Linked DNA regions of Macaca mulatta. The protein of the gene in region 3 interacts with the protein of the main gene of each other region in a pairwise test. Links are inferred from orthologs where the notes say so. Each region holds a gene or a part of one and is shown on either strand. Other genes may lie near its edges.

Region 1 (4,308 bases), on a different chromosome or scaffold from region 3:
TGCTCGGGGCTGGGGCTGCGAGCGGGGTGATTTTGTATTAAAATGAGGAGGAGGAAGAAGAGGCACCCACAGCGGCAGCGGCGGCGGCGGCGGCAGCAGCAGCAGGAGCAGCGGCGGAGAGGGCTGCAGCCCGGGCGGACGCGCGGAGCCGAGCGGGGCACGGCGGCGGCGGCGACAGCGGCCGGGATGAGTCAACTAATAATTTAATGGGGGCAGAGACGGCAGCGAGGGGGAGAGCGAGCGAGGGAGAGAGCGAGAGAAGCAGCCCCGTCCGGGGACTCGCGCTCACACTCACGCACACACACACAAACACACACACACCTCTCCCTGTGCCACCCAGCAACACCCGGCCTCGTCACAACAACAACAGCCGCGGCCGCCCTCTAGCCTGCCTGGGGGCCCAGCCGAAAGCCAGGGCGACTCCAGAGGACGCTGCCCGCCCCCCTCTTTCATTTCAGGAAACTCCTGATCAGTTTTGTTGGGGTTTCTGGGTTTCTTCCCCCCCCAAGTCCTAGTGCCATTGTGGTGCTCGTTGTTTACCTCGGACTCTGGACGAGTGAGAGCTTGGCGACTTTTTGGGGGGAGGGGGCGGGGAGTTTGTCGCTGCCTAGGCGGTGGAGGTGGCTGGGGGTGCCTTCTGATCTTTCTCCTCCTCCCCCTCCCCCCGAACCTCTTCTTTCCTCACTTGCTGGGATCCCAGACGCTCACAGCCCCGCGTCAATGGGCAGGGAGAGGGTCCTTGGGGCTGTTGTCAGCGAGGGCAGAATCAAAAGTGGCATTTTAGTGCCTTTCCGGGGCTTTTCTCGCGACCCTCTGCCCCCCACCCTCGCTGTCCCCCGCTAGATGCCCTCGTTGGGGGTGCGAGGCTGTGGGGAAAAGTTTAAGGTTTGTTAATATTAGTCACGATTGTTGGGGAGGGGGGTGGGGGTGATTGGAAGGGAGGCAAGGTGGCCTTCCCAGTGCGCGTTCTTCGGGTTTGTTGGAGAATAATATTGCAAGTGACAGCCAGAAGTAGACTTTCAGTCCTCACACCGAAGAACCCGAGCGAGCAGGAGGGAGTGAGAGACGCGAAGGGCCTTTTTTTTTTTCCTTTTTGGAGACATTGTCCGCAGTGATTTTTTTTTTTTTTTTTTTTTTTAAAGAGAATCCTCAGTCACCACCTCGTTTCCCCAGCACCATCATAGTGTACAGCTCATAACGGGTTTTGCTTTGTTTTTACGATTTCCCCCCAACGAATCACTTGTCAGATCAATTTTATCTTCTTCCTCCTCCCTGCTTCCCACTCTCCCCTCCTCCCCATCGCAAACCCCGTTCTCTGAGGTTAGACATTTTACAAACGCATATATGTTGGTTTTCGAATTGTGATTTTTTTTTTTTAAACCCCTTTCTCATGGCTACTCTTCTAGACGTTTATTTCTGCCCTTCCCCCGCTTAGGGGGGCGGGGGTAGGGGAAAGGAAAAATAATACAATTTCAGGGGAAGTCGCCTTCAGGTCTGCTGCTTTTTTTTTTTTTTTTTTTTAAATTAAAAAAAAAAGGACATAGAAAACATCAGTCTTGAACTTCTCTTCAAGAACCCGGTCTGCAAAGGAAATCTCCTTTGTTTTTGTTATTTATATGCTGTCAAGTTTTGAAGTGGTGAGTTTCAGGTCGGTTTTGCTAATTTCACTCAGTAAAACTGCAGTGTTTCTGTTTCTAGATAGTACTTTGCTTCTTTGTCTCTTTAAAAGGTCACAGTGAAAGCTTGGCCTGGATCGTGCCGGCCATATGGAATGGATAAGGGCACAATCTTAAAATGTGATTATGGGGTTGTGTGGGGACGAAGGAGGCGATCCAGCTAGAAACTCATTGAAAAGGATCTCACTTTGCAAAAAAAATCGGTTCTTAAAAAACTATAATTTCGTGCTTTTCTTTCTTTTTAAAGGAAATAATTGTTAGAGTTCACTGTTTTATTAAGTAATTATCATATATGGTCTTAGTTTATGGGCAGATAAATGGGATTTTCAGAAAGTAGCTTGCTTTCTGTGTGGCAACCAGACATTACACTAAAATGGGTTGTAACATGTGTAACTCAAAAGAAACTCTTCAGCCTGGCATCTGTTGAGACCATAGTTAGTTCCTGCTGCTGTCATCCAGGCAGGCCTGTTGGAGATTGCTCTTTTCAATTCCAAACTGTGGTTTGGTGAACTTTAGCCCGGGCATAGAGTTTAAATGAGTAAATTGGGTGTTTTATGTGCATTTAATTTTGGTTTGTAATGTGAAGCTTTTTACACCATGACTTAGTGTTTAATAGATGCTTATAGGTGGGTATTCAAAGGACAGTTTTTCATGACCTATGTGATACTTTGATTGTCAATACATTAACTAAATTATAATATATCATTTTCATTTGCTGTACGGTTTATAGTGTTGTTAAGCTTCATGATTACTTAATATGTTTTATAGCATTAACTTTGATGCTGTTGTCTACACCCCCTCCCTTTTTTTCCTCTTAAATTGCCCCAAGGGCTAAACATTTTTCTTTTCAAATCATATGTTTTAAAATTCATCTTCTGCTCTAGGATGAGGCAACCAATTTCAGAAAAAGCAGCTCTGTATTATCCACATGAAACATTATAAAGAGTGTTTTGAATAAGTTAATAATCATTGCTTTCTAATTTTGGCTTTAGACTGCAGTTTAATATAATGGAAAAGAGTAATCTTGATAAAAAGTGGTTTAAAAAGGCACATTTATTGTTAATGAACCTCATAACCAAAAACAGATGGGACCTCGATCAACGGTAAACCTTTAGTTCTCAGTGTGCCACTCTGGAGTACAAAGATAAATAGCCGTTAATTTTTCTCAAACTTTATAGTTCTTCAATTGGCATTCTTAAGGTTGCTTTTAAACTTCCAGATTAACATTACTGCCCCCCTTTTCTTGATTATATGGTAAGAAGTAGGCTATGGTTAAACAGAAGAAAAAAATGTTTACAGAAAAGCCATGCTAACACAAACTGGCTTTCAGCAAATCCAGATTTAAATAGCTTCAGTGTAACAATTTACAACAAAAACAAGCCATGTCAAATTACTAGACAGCTAGGAAAAATGGTAATTATTCTCTCTGGTTTTCCTAAATATGATGCCTTATTTTCATAAGCTCAATATTTCAAATACCATCAAAGTTCATAAAATAATTCTACTTACCTGTTCTTATCAATTCTAATTAAAACTATGCTTTAAAAATGACTTTGATATTATCTAATCACTTTACTATAAATGATGTGAAAATTGATGTCTAGTATATAACTGAAAATAATTATCTGTTAATTTTTTTGAAGTTAATTACAATGTTAACGCCATTGCATGCTGAGGTTGTTTCTGAATACTGGATATTTTGTTTTACCAGTGTCATCAAGGTTTTTTTTTTTGTGTGTGTGTGTTTTAATTGAGCTTGGCACTTCAACCTAATGTGTATATCACAAAGTGTATTCTAAATTTTTAAAAAATATTTATTGTTAACAGCCCTCTATTGCTAATGGACACCTAAATACTACAAAACACATGAGTTTTAATGCATCAGTACATTGGATATTTGAAAACCCTTCACTTCTTCCTGTTTCCTTAGGGGTAAACTGATCCAATCACATGTTTGACCCAAGACTTGACTAGATCTGTCACATAACTCTTGAAACTTTGATAGTGGAAAACTTTTTCTATGCATTAACTTATAAAAGCCAGTGGGGAGTTTAAAAAACAGTTAGATGTTTGTTACCTTCTTTTGAGATTGTGTATGATTTTCCTCAGAATTTATATTCATATACATATAAAACATATATGTATATGTATATTATATGTACATACACATATAAACATATACATTAGATTTCTAATATTTTGAACTGTGATCATCTTTCCATCCTTTATTAAAGTGTTTCTGCTGTATTTTGTAATGAGTTTCTAATTGTTAAAAATTGGGACTACATAAATAAAATTTGCTGTTTTCTTTTTAGCTATACTTGTGATAATTCTTGTTCTAAAAGTAAGCCCATTTCTCCCCACTTAGTTTTTTTTATAGGCCAATTGCCTTTTTATTCGTGTGTATTGGTACAGTTTCCACAGATCATTTTGTTAATTTAAATAAGAATGTAAGGCTATTATCTAGAAATATAGTAACATCTGTATCATATCTAGATAGGCCATTTTACCAATACATTATATTTGTGGAGAGATATCTAGAGCTAAAACATTTACATAGGACACATATATACACGTAGGTCCCCACCCAATTATAACATGTCTTCTTTTTAAATTCTGGCAGGTGATCTTT
Region 2 (4,288 bases), on a different chromosome or scaffold from region 3:
TAACATTAGGAGCAAGAAACCTTTGAAGGACACGCATTAGCCCTCAGTTCTAAAGGAACTGCATTAAATTAGAACCTAAAGCTGAATTTATCTTTACTATATGGGTTTTGAATTAATCATGATAACCATAAAACAAAGATTATGACAGCTACTCTCAAATAGATGCATGTTAAAGTAATATAAAAGTGAGTAAGTAACAACTACACTGTGAACTTATTCTAACAATGGGGAAAGTTTCCAGCTCCAATGTCCAGTCCATCCCATTTTTCACAAAAAGGTGTCAGAAAAAAAAATTTTCCCAAAAATGTGTCAGAAAAAAAATTTTTCCCATTAAGAAATCTGATTCAGGCCGGGCGCGGTGGCTCACGCCTGTAATTCCAGCACTTTGGGAAGCTGAGGAGGGCGGATCACTAGGTCAGGAGTTCAAGAGCAGCCTGGCCAACGTGGTGAAACCCCGTCTCTACTAAAAATACAAAAATTAGCTGGGCGTGGCTCGTGTCCGTAATCCCAGCTACTCGGGAGGCTGAGGCAGGATAATTGCTTGAACCAGGACACGGGAGGCGGAGGTTGCAGTGAGCAGAGATCACACCACTGAACTCCAGCCTGGGCTACAGAGCAGACTCCGTCTCAAATAAATAAATAAATAAATAAATAAATAAATAAATAAAATAGCGATGTGACTCCTCAGGACATCAGGTAGTAACTAGCAATTGCAGGCCTCTAAAAATGCTTGTTAAACCAAAAGGCAATGCTCTGATTACTGGAGGAATCTAGATTGCCAGGATCAGCAAAACTACATTAGAAAGTTAATAGCTTCCATCCTTAAAATATCCCAAGAGAAGAAAGGGAGTGATTCAAACTGTTAGCATGTACCCAATACTACACAATAATAGCCTAAGCAAAATTGGTAGATGTATTTGTAATTAAGAAGTCCAACCTTGACGAAGTATTATCAGTGGGATTTTAATTTTACTGGGTGGGAGGATTCAAAAAGCAAAAGGTCAGGCAAAAAACGAAAAACCCATCCAAGCCGAAACTGCTCAAGGATCTATCTGGGAGGGCTCCTACCGATGTTCTCTACTTCAACCTGCGAACATCAATTTTGTGATGGGGGCTGCCGGGGACGGAGTGGGGCGGGGGGGTAGGCGGACAATTTAAAAGTGAGAATGAATGGCTTGCGTAAAGGCGACAGTCTTTAAGCCGGGTTCGTCAGTGTACATCCTCACCGGTTTTGAAATAAAGTTGACGAACTCCCCAGAAGCGGTCAATTTTGGAGACTGACACATCTCTCCCATTGACCGGAGGCGCCTGCCGACCGAAGGTAGTGGAAACGCCGAGAGGCAGGCGGCGCCAAGCCTAAGAAAGCCTTTTCTCCCTCCTCCAAGGCCACTGCGGCCGCAGCCCTGGAGCTCTCCACTGCAGGGGCAGGTATCGGCGCCAGACCCCCGGCTCGCGGAGCTGGCGGAGTTGCCGCCACTGCTTCCCAGGCGGGCCTAGGAGCCAGAAAGTTGCGTGAAGACAACTCCAAGGCCGTGAAGCCGCTTCCCCCCGCAGCCCGGGGACTGCGGCACCTCCAGCCTTCTCCTTAGTACCCCACGGAAAAGGACTTGCCTCGACCCGGCCCCAGCGTCTGGGGGCTTGGGGTGCCGTAGCCAACTCCGCCGGGCCGGGAGGACGCTAGGGTCACCAGCGGCTGACGAGCAAGGAGGTTGGAGCGGTGCGATGCCCCCACGTCAGACGCCAGTCCAGGCTGCGAGTTCCCGGCGCCCACCAGCCGGGCCCGCCAGGATCCCAGCGTCCGGACGCCGCAGAGCCCTCACCGCGGCCCGCAGCCCTCCGACTTGCCCCGACCTATCCCTGGGACGCAGCCCGGGCTCCGCAACTCGACCAGTAGCCAGGCCGCGGCCCTGCGCCCCTTCCCGCCTCACCTGCGCTCCGCTGCGACTCCGTGCCTCCTCGCTCGCTCCGCGCGCGCCCCGTCGGGGCACGCACCGACCCCCCGGCTGGGACTCTCCCCGCTGCGGTGACTCAGGACGCGACGGCCACCGCCGCCTTCTCCTCCTCGGAACAAGCGCCGGCGGCGAGCAGAGGGTCGCGGTCAGAGCCCCTGCCGGGACCAAAGTGAACCTCGCCGCCTCCGCAGCCTCTACCACCAAGTCCCTTCAGTCGTCCGCGCCGCCCCCAAGAAAATGTCACCAGAGGCCGTTCCGCTCGGCGCCTCACTTCCGCCCGGAAACACAGAGCCTGCGTCGGCCGGCTAGAGAGGCTGCTGCGCCGGGGACCTCTGGAGACTGGCGCCCGAGGCCCGAGAAAAGCCAGACAGCGCCATCTGGCGCGATGGAACCCGCGCTCCTCCCGCTGCAGACCGCGGGGCGTGAAAGCGCCAGCTCCCCGGGCTTCTTTCCCGCGCTCCCTCCTTCTGTTGAGACCGTCTCCTTCCAGAAATGTCTTTCCCGGGGTGTGTGAAAGCCACTCAATGCAAGACAAGGACAATGCCTTCAACAAAGGACAGCGCTCCCTTTTCTGTGCGCTGCTCAGTACTCACCCCCTCCTGAAGCCCTTCCGAAAGCAGCTCGCGGTGTCTGAATCTTTGAGTCGCTCCAGCCTCCGGAGGGCCCGCGCCCTTCTCTCCCCGCTTTTTCGCGGATGCGGACAGCTGGGCTCGCGGAGACTCAGCCGGGCTCGGGGAGACTAGGCTGAGGTCTTCTTGGGCAGCGGCACCAACATCTGCTCAAGTTTCTGCCGGGGCACCTTGCAGGCCTTGCAGATCGACCGCCACCTGCTGGTGGGACGGGGCCCGCAGGGGAGACGCCGCTCTGCCCCGAATTCCGCCTCTGCAGTCGCCCTCCGATTTGCAGTCAGCCCTTAGGAGGGTAGGGGAAAGGAGGTGGATCGAACCCCGAGAAAGGGGAGGAGGGCGCGGGCCAACTGGCGGGTAGAGGGCTTCCCAAGGAGAAGCAGGAGATGCTGAAGACGCATCTCACGACTCAAGATCTGGCCAAGGACCCGCGCTCACCCAAAGCACTGCAGTGTTTTGAGAAGAAAAATAATAATAATAAAGCTTTCACCTTTACAGAGCTGTGCTGGAACCTCGGATGAGACCCGTCAAGAGGAGATTCTGAAAATCTTACACTACTGAGTCCGTACTCCCCTAAACATCAGTATCCCCCTTCAGACCAGGCCCATTAGTTCCCCCACTTCACTCATTTTTTCTGACTGCCTACAGGAGTGCGAGTTTTTCATCCCTAACTACAAGAATAATTATGAAAAGAAAATAACTTTTATTGAATGCCTATTACATACCAGGCACTTTGCATTTAAATGGGTTAAATTCTTTTTTTTTTTTTTTTTTTTTTTTTTTTGAGACGGAGTCTCACTCTGCCGCCCAGGCTGGAGTACAGTGGCCAGATCTCGGCTCACTGCAAGCTCTGCCTCCCGGGTTCACGCCATTCTCCTGCCTCAGCCTCCTGAGTAGCTGGGACTACAGGCGCCCGCCACCTCGCCCGGCTAGTTTTTTTTTTGTATTTTTTTAGTAGAGACGGGGTTTCACCGTGTCAGCCAGGATGGTCTCGATCTCCTGACCTCGTGATCCGCCCGTCTCGGCCTCCCAAAGTGCTGGGATTACAGGCTTGAGCCACCGCGCCCGGCCGGGTTAAATTCATTGAATCCTCTTTACAACTCATAACAACCCTATGAGTTGGATGGCATTACTAGCCCCAAGTTGCAAAGGTGGAAACTGAGGCACAGAGTGACCTGCCCAAGATGACACATCCAAGTAAGTGGCAGTGTTGGATTACAACACAGGCAGAGCTTACTTCTTAACCACAGCCACCACTGCCTCATTGAGAATCACTGAGAACGTAGTGTGTGCTAGCTAAGTAGTTTATCTGTATATGTTATTTCACTCGTTCATTCATGTATTTACTTTCTGCTACCTGAGTCCTCAAGGGATTTGAGAGGTTGTGGGGTAGTGACAAGAGCCCAGCCTCTTGCAGGAAAAAAAGAAAAGAAAAGAAAAAATCACTATTAAGATCACAACTGTCCGAAAATGAATGAGTGAATGTGGACTAATACACTGAGTTTTTAAAAGATTCCATGACAGTCTGATCTAACCAATGCTGTGGGAATACTGAAGTAGGGCCCTGACTACTGAGATACCATCTTGGGTCCTTCTCCTGTTTTTTGTTGTTATTGTTGTTTCTTTGTTTTTTGTTCTGTTTTGTTTTGTTTTTTTCTTGAGACAGAGTCTTGCTCTGTCACCCAGACTGGAGTGTAGTGGCGCGATCTT
Region 3 (4,308 bases):
GCCCCAGATCCTGCCTGGATGAGGCGCCTTTGCCACCCCACAATCCGACACCACTCCCGTCTTCCTCGGGGCCGCACACCTGCGTCGCCGTGACGTGAAGAGCAAGGGACGTTCTCAGCAGAGCCTCAGACAAGCGACAAACCCAAGTGACACCATGTCTCAGGCAAAGCTGAGACCTGCTGGGACTGCTCAGCTCAGGGGGACCGAAGCTGCTTTGAGTTTCAGAGTGAAACCCAGAGGGTGGCATGGGCCGGAGGGAACAAGGCCTCGGGCAGGACCAGCACCTCAGGGCTCTCTCCTTCCTTCAGGGTTCACCAGCATGAACCTTATGTGCACACCAGCCTGGAGTCCCCGGCCAAGTGCTTCACGGGAGCCGGGCAAAGACGACAGGCACACAGGCCGCCCTGCTCCCCACAGACACACAGGGGGCCCCAAGCAGGCATCCTAGGCTGCTGTCGCCAGTCCCTGTGCCCCAGGAGGTTCTCCAGGAGGCGGCTTTACGCCAGGGTGGCTCTCCAGCAAACCCAGCTACCGTGACCTGAGCCACACCTGGAAGGACACAGCAGAATCCCGGGTTCCAGCCTGCAAAGGCTGCCCGCCCTCAGGCCTGCTCCCAACACACACCAGAGCCCCTCCCCTCTGCCACAGCTCAGCCCTGTGCCCAGCCTGCTTCCTTCTCAACCAGAAATGCCCTCGGTGGGGACACAGCTGTCACCCCAACCTTGCCAGCACCACCTTCTGAGCTCAAGTCCGCACGGGGCGGGGGCCAGGCCACAGCTGGGGATCTGACCTGTTGTCCGCAGCCCGTGACAAGGGCGGCCGTCACAGACGGCAGGGGCTGAGCAGTTTCCCCGTGGCGTTGCCACACGCATCTGTTGAGCCCCGACAGGCAGGAGGCTAGCAGCGCGCGCCTCTTACCCCTTTCTTTCCTGGAATGGCGCACTCCCAGTTCATGAGGTTCATCGTGCCATCGGGATTTTTTGTTGGGACAGCCACGAAACCCTGAGAGAAAACAACCACAAAAGCACATCAGTGCGGTGGCATCTCGTTTGACCAAAACCACCGAGAACCGGCCCGCGAGCCCCACCAGCGCGACCCAGGCACGCGGCCAGCTCCCTCCCAGTGGTGGGGGGCACGGTTTCAGCCCAGGGGGGCCGTCCGCGGCACTGCACACGGAAACGAAGCCCTCCTTACAAACGGGTGGTCTTTCCTCCATGCTTTCCTCTCCTGGGCGAGTCTGCTGAGGGCGATCCCCGACATGTTCAGAGTCCCTGGAACACAGGAGGCAGAGCACGGGGTCAGGACAGGCTAGCGGGCTCCTGCGGCCCCGCCACGTGCACACGGCCCGCAGTGGGCAGTCTTGCTCCTAACAGGCGCCAGCCCAGCCCAGCAGAGACTCTCCTCCTGGAAGCCGTCGTCCGACCCCGGGGTCTACCAGGGGAGGCCTCATGAGTGGATCCCAGATCACCGGGGGTGGGGGGACAGGTAGGACCCCTTCCCCATGGGCCCCCCGAGCCCTGGTCTGCGACACGTGCCGCGGCCTCTGCTCCACGGTGGAGACGGATGTTCAGAGGCTGGGCTGCTGTGGCTGGGCGGTAGCTGCCACCCTGTGGTGGCTGGCGTGGCAGGGTCCTCACTGAACCGTCAGGTGGGGACTAGGCAGGGCTGGGTCCCAGCCTTACTATCTGGGTCCCCGCCTTACTATCAGGCGCTCAGAACTGAGACTCAAGCCGGGCCAGGGGGACACCTAATATTGTTTTTTTTTTTTTTTTTGAGATGGAGTCTCACTCTGTCCCTCAGGCTGGAGTGCAGTGGCACTATCTCGGCTCATTGCAACCTCCGTTTCTTGAGTTCAAGCAATTCTCCTGCCTCAGCCTCCCGGGTAGCTGGGACTACAGGCCCCCGCCACCATGCCCGGCTAATTTTTGTATTTTTAATAGAGATGGGGTTTCACCGTGTTGAAGACAGAGTGGAACAAGTACCACAGGGCAGAGGCTCAGCCTCGCTGAAAGAGGAGCCCCCCACAGGGCCACCGTTCCCGGACCCTGCAGCCGCTAGCATGTCCCTGTGGCTTCAGGGGACAGACGGGTCCTGTGGGGCAGGGCAGGAGCATGGGGTACGGGACCAGGTCCCTGGTCAGAGGCAGCGGCACACACGCCAGATTCCAGCTCCACACTTCTCCACGGGACCTCAGGGGCTTGGCACCTTTGCCTTCTGGTTCCCAGCGGGAGCCTGTCGGCCCGCACTGTCCCCGGGGACACCAGGCAAACAGGGCCAGCAGCCTCGACACCAGCCTCACCTGTCACCCTACTGGTGGTCACCTTTACCATGAAAAACAGCACTCAGGGCACAAAACCTGCCAGAGAATTCAAGCCCAAGTGTGTGCTGGTTTTCAAAGTCCACGGGAACACTGAAGCTGCCTCCAAGTCTGGCATCTCAGCGCCAAGCAAGGGCCACCTCGACAAAGCTGGGGGTTGCGCCAGGCCTTCCAAACCGTGGGGGGCCGTCCCTACAAGGGCCCTGGTGACCTGGATGGCGCCCGCACCTGTGCAGGCCCACGAACCTCACACACCTCACAGCTGCAGGAAGGGGCCAGGTCAGCAGCTCCACCTGGGCCAGAGCCGCCGCAGCCTCACCTGGCACTTGTTAGGGAGGCAAGGCCCAGTCCCCAGCAGACTCATTGAGGAAGGAGCTCCGAGAGGCCCACATTCGGGTTTTGGGCGGCACGATGGCTTCCCGAGGCAGCAAAGCAGAAATCAGGGGTGGGGCTGGGATCAAGGAAGCCCAGGCGGGTCCAGTGTCGCCAGGGAACCAGGGTGCTGGAAGCCAGGCGGGGCTGCTAGAGCCGCCTGCCCTGCAGGTGGATTTGGCTCCTTTTTAACCAAACACGGATCCTCAGGGCAGCCTGAGAAAAATCAGGCAAAGGAACCCGGGTCCTCCAGTCAGTAGGTGCTGGCATCACAGCGAGAGGGTGACAGGGGCCATCCGGGCACTGGCCTCCAGCTACACGATTAAGTCCAAGACAGGTAGCCCCAGACTGGGCCCCACCGGGATGTCCCTCCCCATGCCCTCCTCACAGGGATGCGGAGGAGCCCGCAGGCCGCCTGCCCTCTGGACCACTTGCCCATCCCCATGCCCTTCTCTAAGTGGGGGTGGGGGGAAGCCAGGGGCCAGAAAGGGAGAAAGTGGGGGACACAGCTGGGCTCAGCTGTGGGCAGGCAGGGTTCGAGCCCAGAGTGGAGTGGAGCTCCCGCCAACCACGGTTTCAAGGCTCTCTCTGCACGTGTCTCCACCCTCCACTTCCACATGGAGCAGCTCAGTTGTGGCTTGAGGACTCACAGCTCTCGCTTCCCCAGCCCCAGGGTGGGCTTCATGAGTAGCCACAGCCTGTGCCTGGTGCGGTGCAAAGCAGCCTGGTGAACGGCCGTTTTGAGGAGCCACGACCTCCCAGGTGCCCGGGGTCTGAGCGGGGCCAGGAATCAAGCAGGTCTCTGAAGCCCCAGGCCAGTGCTCCAGACACTGAAGGACCAAGGCCAACACGATCCTCACAGCCAGGCAAGGCCAGGCCCCAGAGAGGCCAGCCCCAGAGAGGCCAGCCAGGCCTGGAACCCTGCCACAGGTAGCCCTCCTACTGAAGACCGGACAGAGCCACCTAGAGGCCCCCGTCCCAGCACCTAGCTATTGCTGTCTCAGATGTGAGAAGTCGTGAGGGTGCTCCTGTGAGACCTCCCGCCAAGGTCTGGCTGATGCTGCTGTATCCCCTGCCCCAAAGCACTCAGCACCACAGGGTGGTCTCACAGGAAACTGCACCACAGGGCAAGGAGCCACAGGTGCACACCCACCCTGTCCTAGGCAGAAGCCAGGCCCCTCCCCCTGCTCCCCCTCCTACTGGCCTCCTGGAGAAAGTGGCCAATGTGTTACAATGTAATCACAACACAGACGAAGCATTCAAAATCCCGCTGAAAATCGAATTTGCCCTTCCAAATTAACAGATAAGCACTAAGTGAATGGCTAGCAGTTACTAGACCCTTCAGAGCAGGGAACTTATATGAGGCAAAGACAAAAACAACCCTCATCTATCAGAGCCAAGCAAGGCCCAGACACTGCAGCAACCAGGACAGGGCCAAGCACTCCAGGAGTGGCCTGAAGGTCTGCCTTCTGTCCTGCTGGGCACCCGCGACCGGCTGAGCTTTAGCTTCTCGGATCACCACCTTGCTCTGCTGGTTGACAGCACCGACTTCCGAGCAACTTCCTGGCTGAGGGTGAGCAAAGCACTCACCTCTCACAACTCCACCGCACTCATCTCCA

The links. The genes of interacting proteins can lie anywhere in the genome.
Region 1: the proteins of UBE2I (region 3) and SATB1 interact in a two-hybrid assay, tested with the Homo sapiens proteins (3 studies listed by BioGRID and IntAct). The link is inferred for Macaca mulatta from reciprocal best matches to the Homo sapiens genes UBE2I and SATB1.
Region 2: the proteins of UBE2I (region 3) and ARK2N interact in a two-hybrid assay, tested with the Homo sapiens proteins (2 studies listed by BioGRID and IntAct). The two-hybrid records come from large-scale screens. The link is inferred for Macaca mulatta from reciprocal best matches to the Homo sapiens genes UBE2I and ARK2N.

Annotation. Positions count from the first base shown.
Region 1 is NC_133407.1:30,103,327-30,107,634, forward strand, and holds the start of SATB1 (DNA-binding protein SATB1), read left to right. Parts: upstream 1-1,507; 5' UTR 1,508-1,637; intron 1,638-4,299; 5' UTR 4,300-4,308. UniProt on the Homo sapiens protein: Crucial silencing factor contributing to the initiation of X inactivation mediated by Xist RNA that occurs during embryogenesis and in lymphoma.
Region 2 is NC_133423.1:46,240,559-46,244,846, forward strand, and holds the start of ARK2N (protein ARK2N), read right to left. Parts: upstream 2,802-4,288; 5' UTR 2,546-2,801; intron 2,225-2,545; exon of another isoform or gene 1,929-2,224; intron 1-1,928. UniProt on the Homo sapiens protein: AMPK substrate important for exercise capacity and skeletal muscle function.
Region 3 is NC_133425.1:2,512,386-2,516,693, reverse strand, and holds the start of UBE2I (SUMO-conjugating enzyme UBC9), read right to left. Parts: upstream 2,807-4,308; 5' UTR 2,637-2,806; intron 1,272-2,636; 5' UTR 1,261-1,271; coding exon 1,195-1,260; intron 1,003-1,194; coding exon 919-1,002; intron 1-918. UniProt on the Homo sapiens protein: Accepts the ubiquitin-like proteins SUMO1, SUMO2, SUMO3, SUMO4 and SUMO1P1/SUMO5 from the UBLE1A-UBLE1B E1 complex and catalyzes their covalent attachment to other proteins with the help of an E3 ligase such as RANBP2, CBX4 and ZNF451.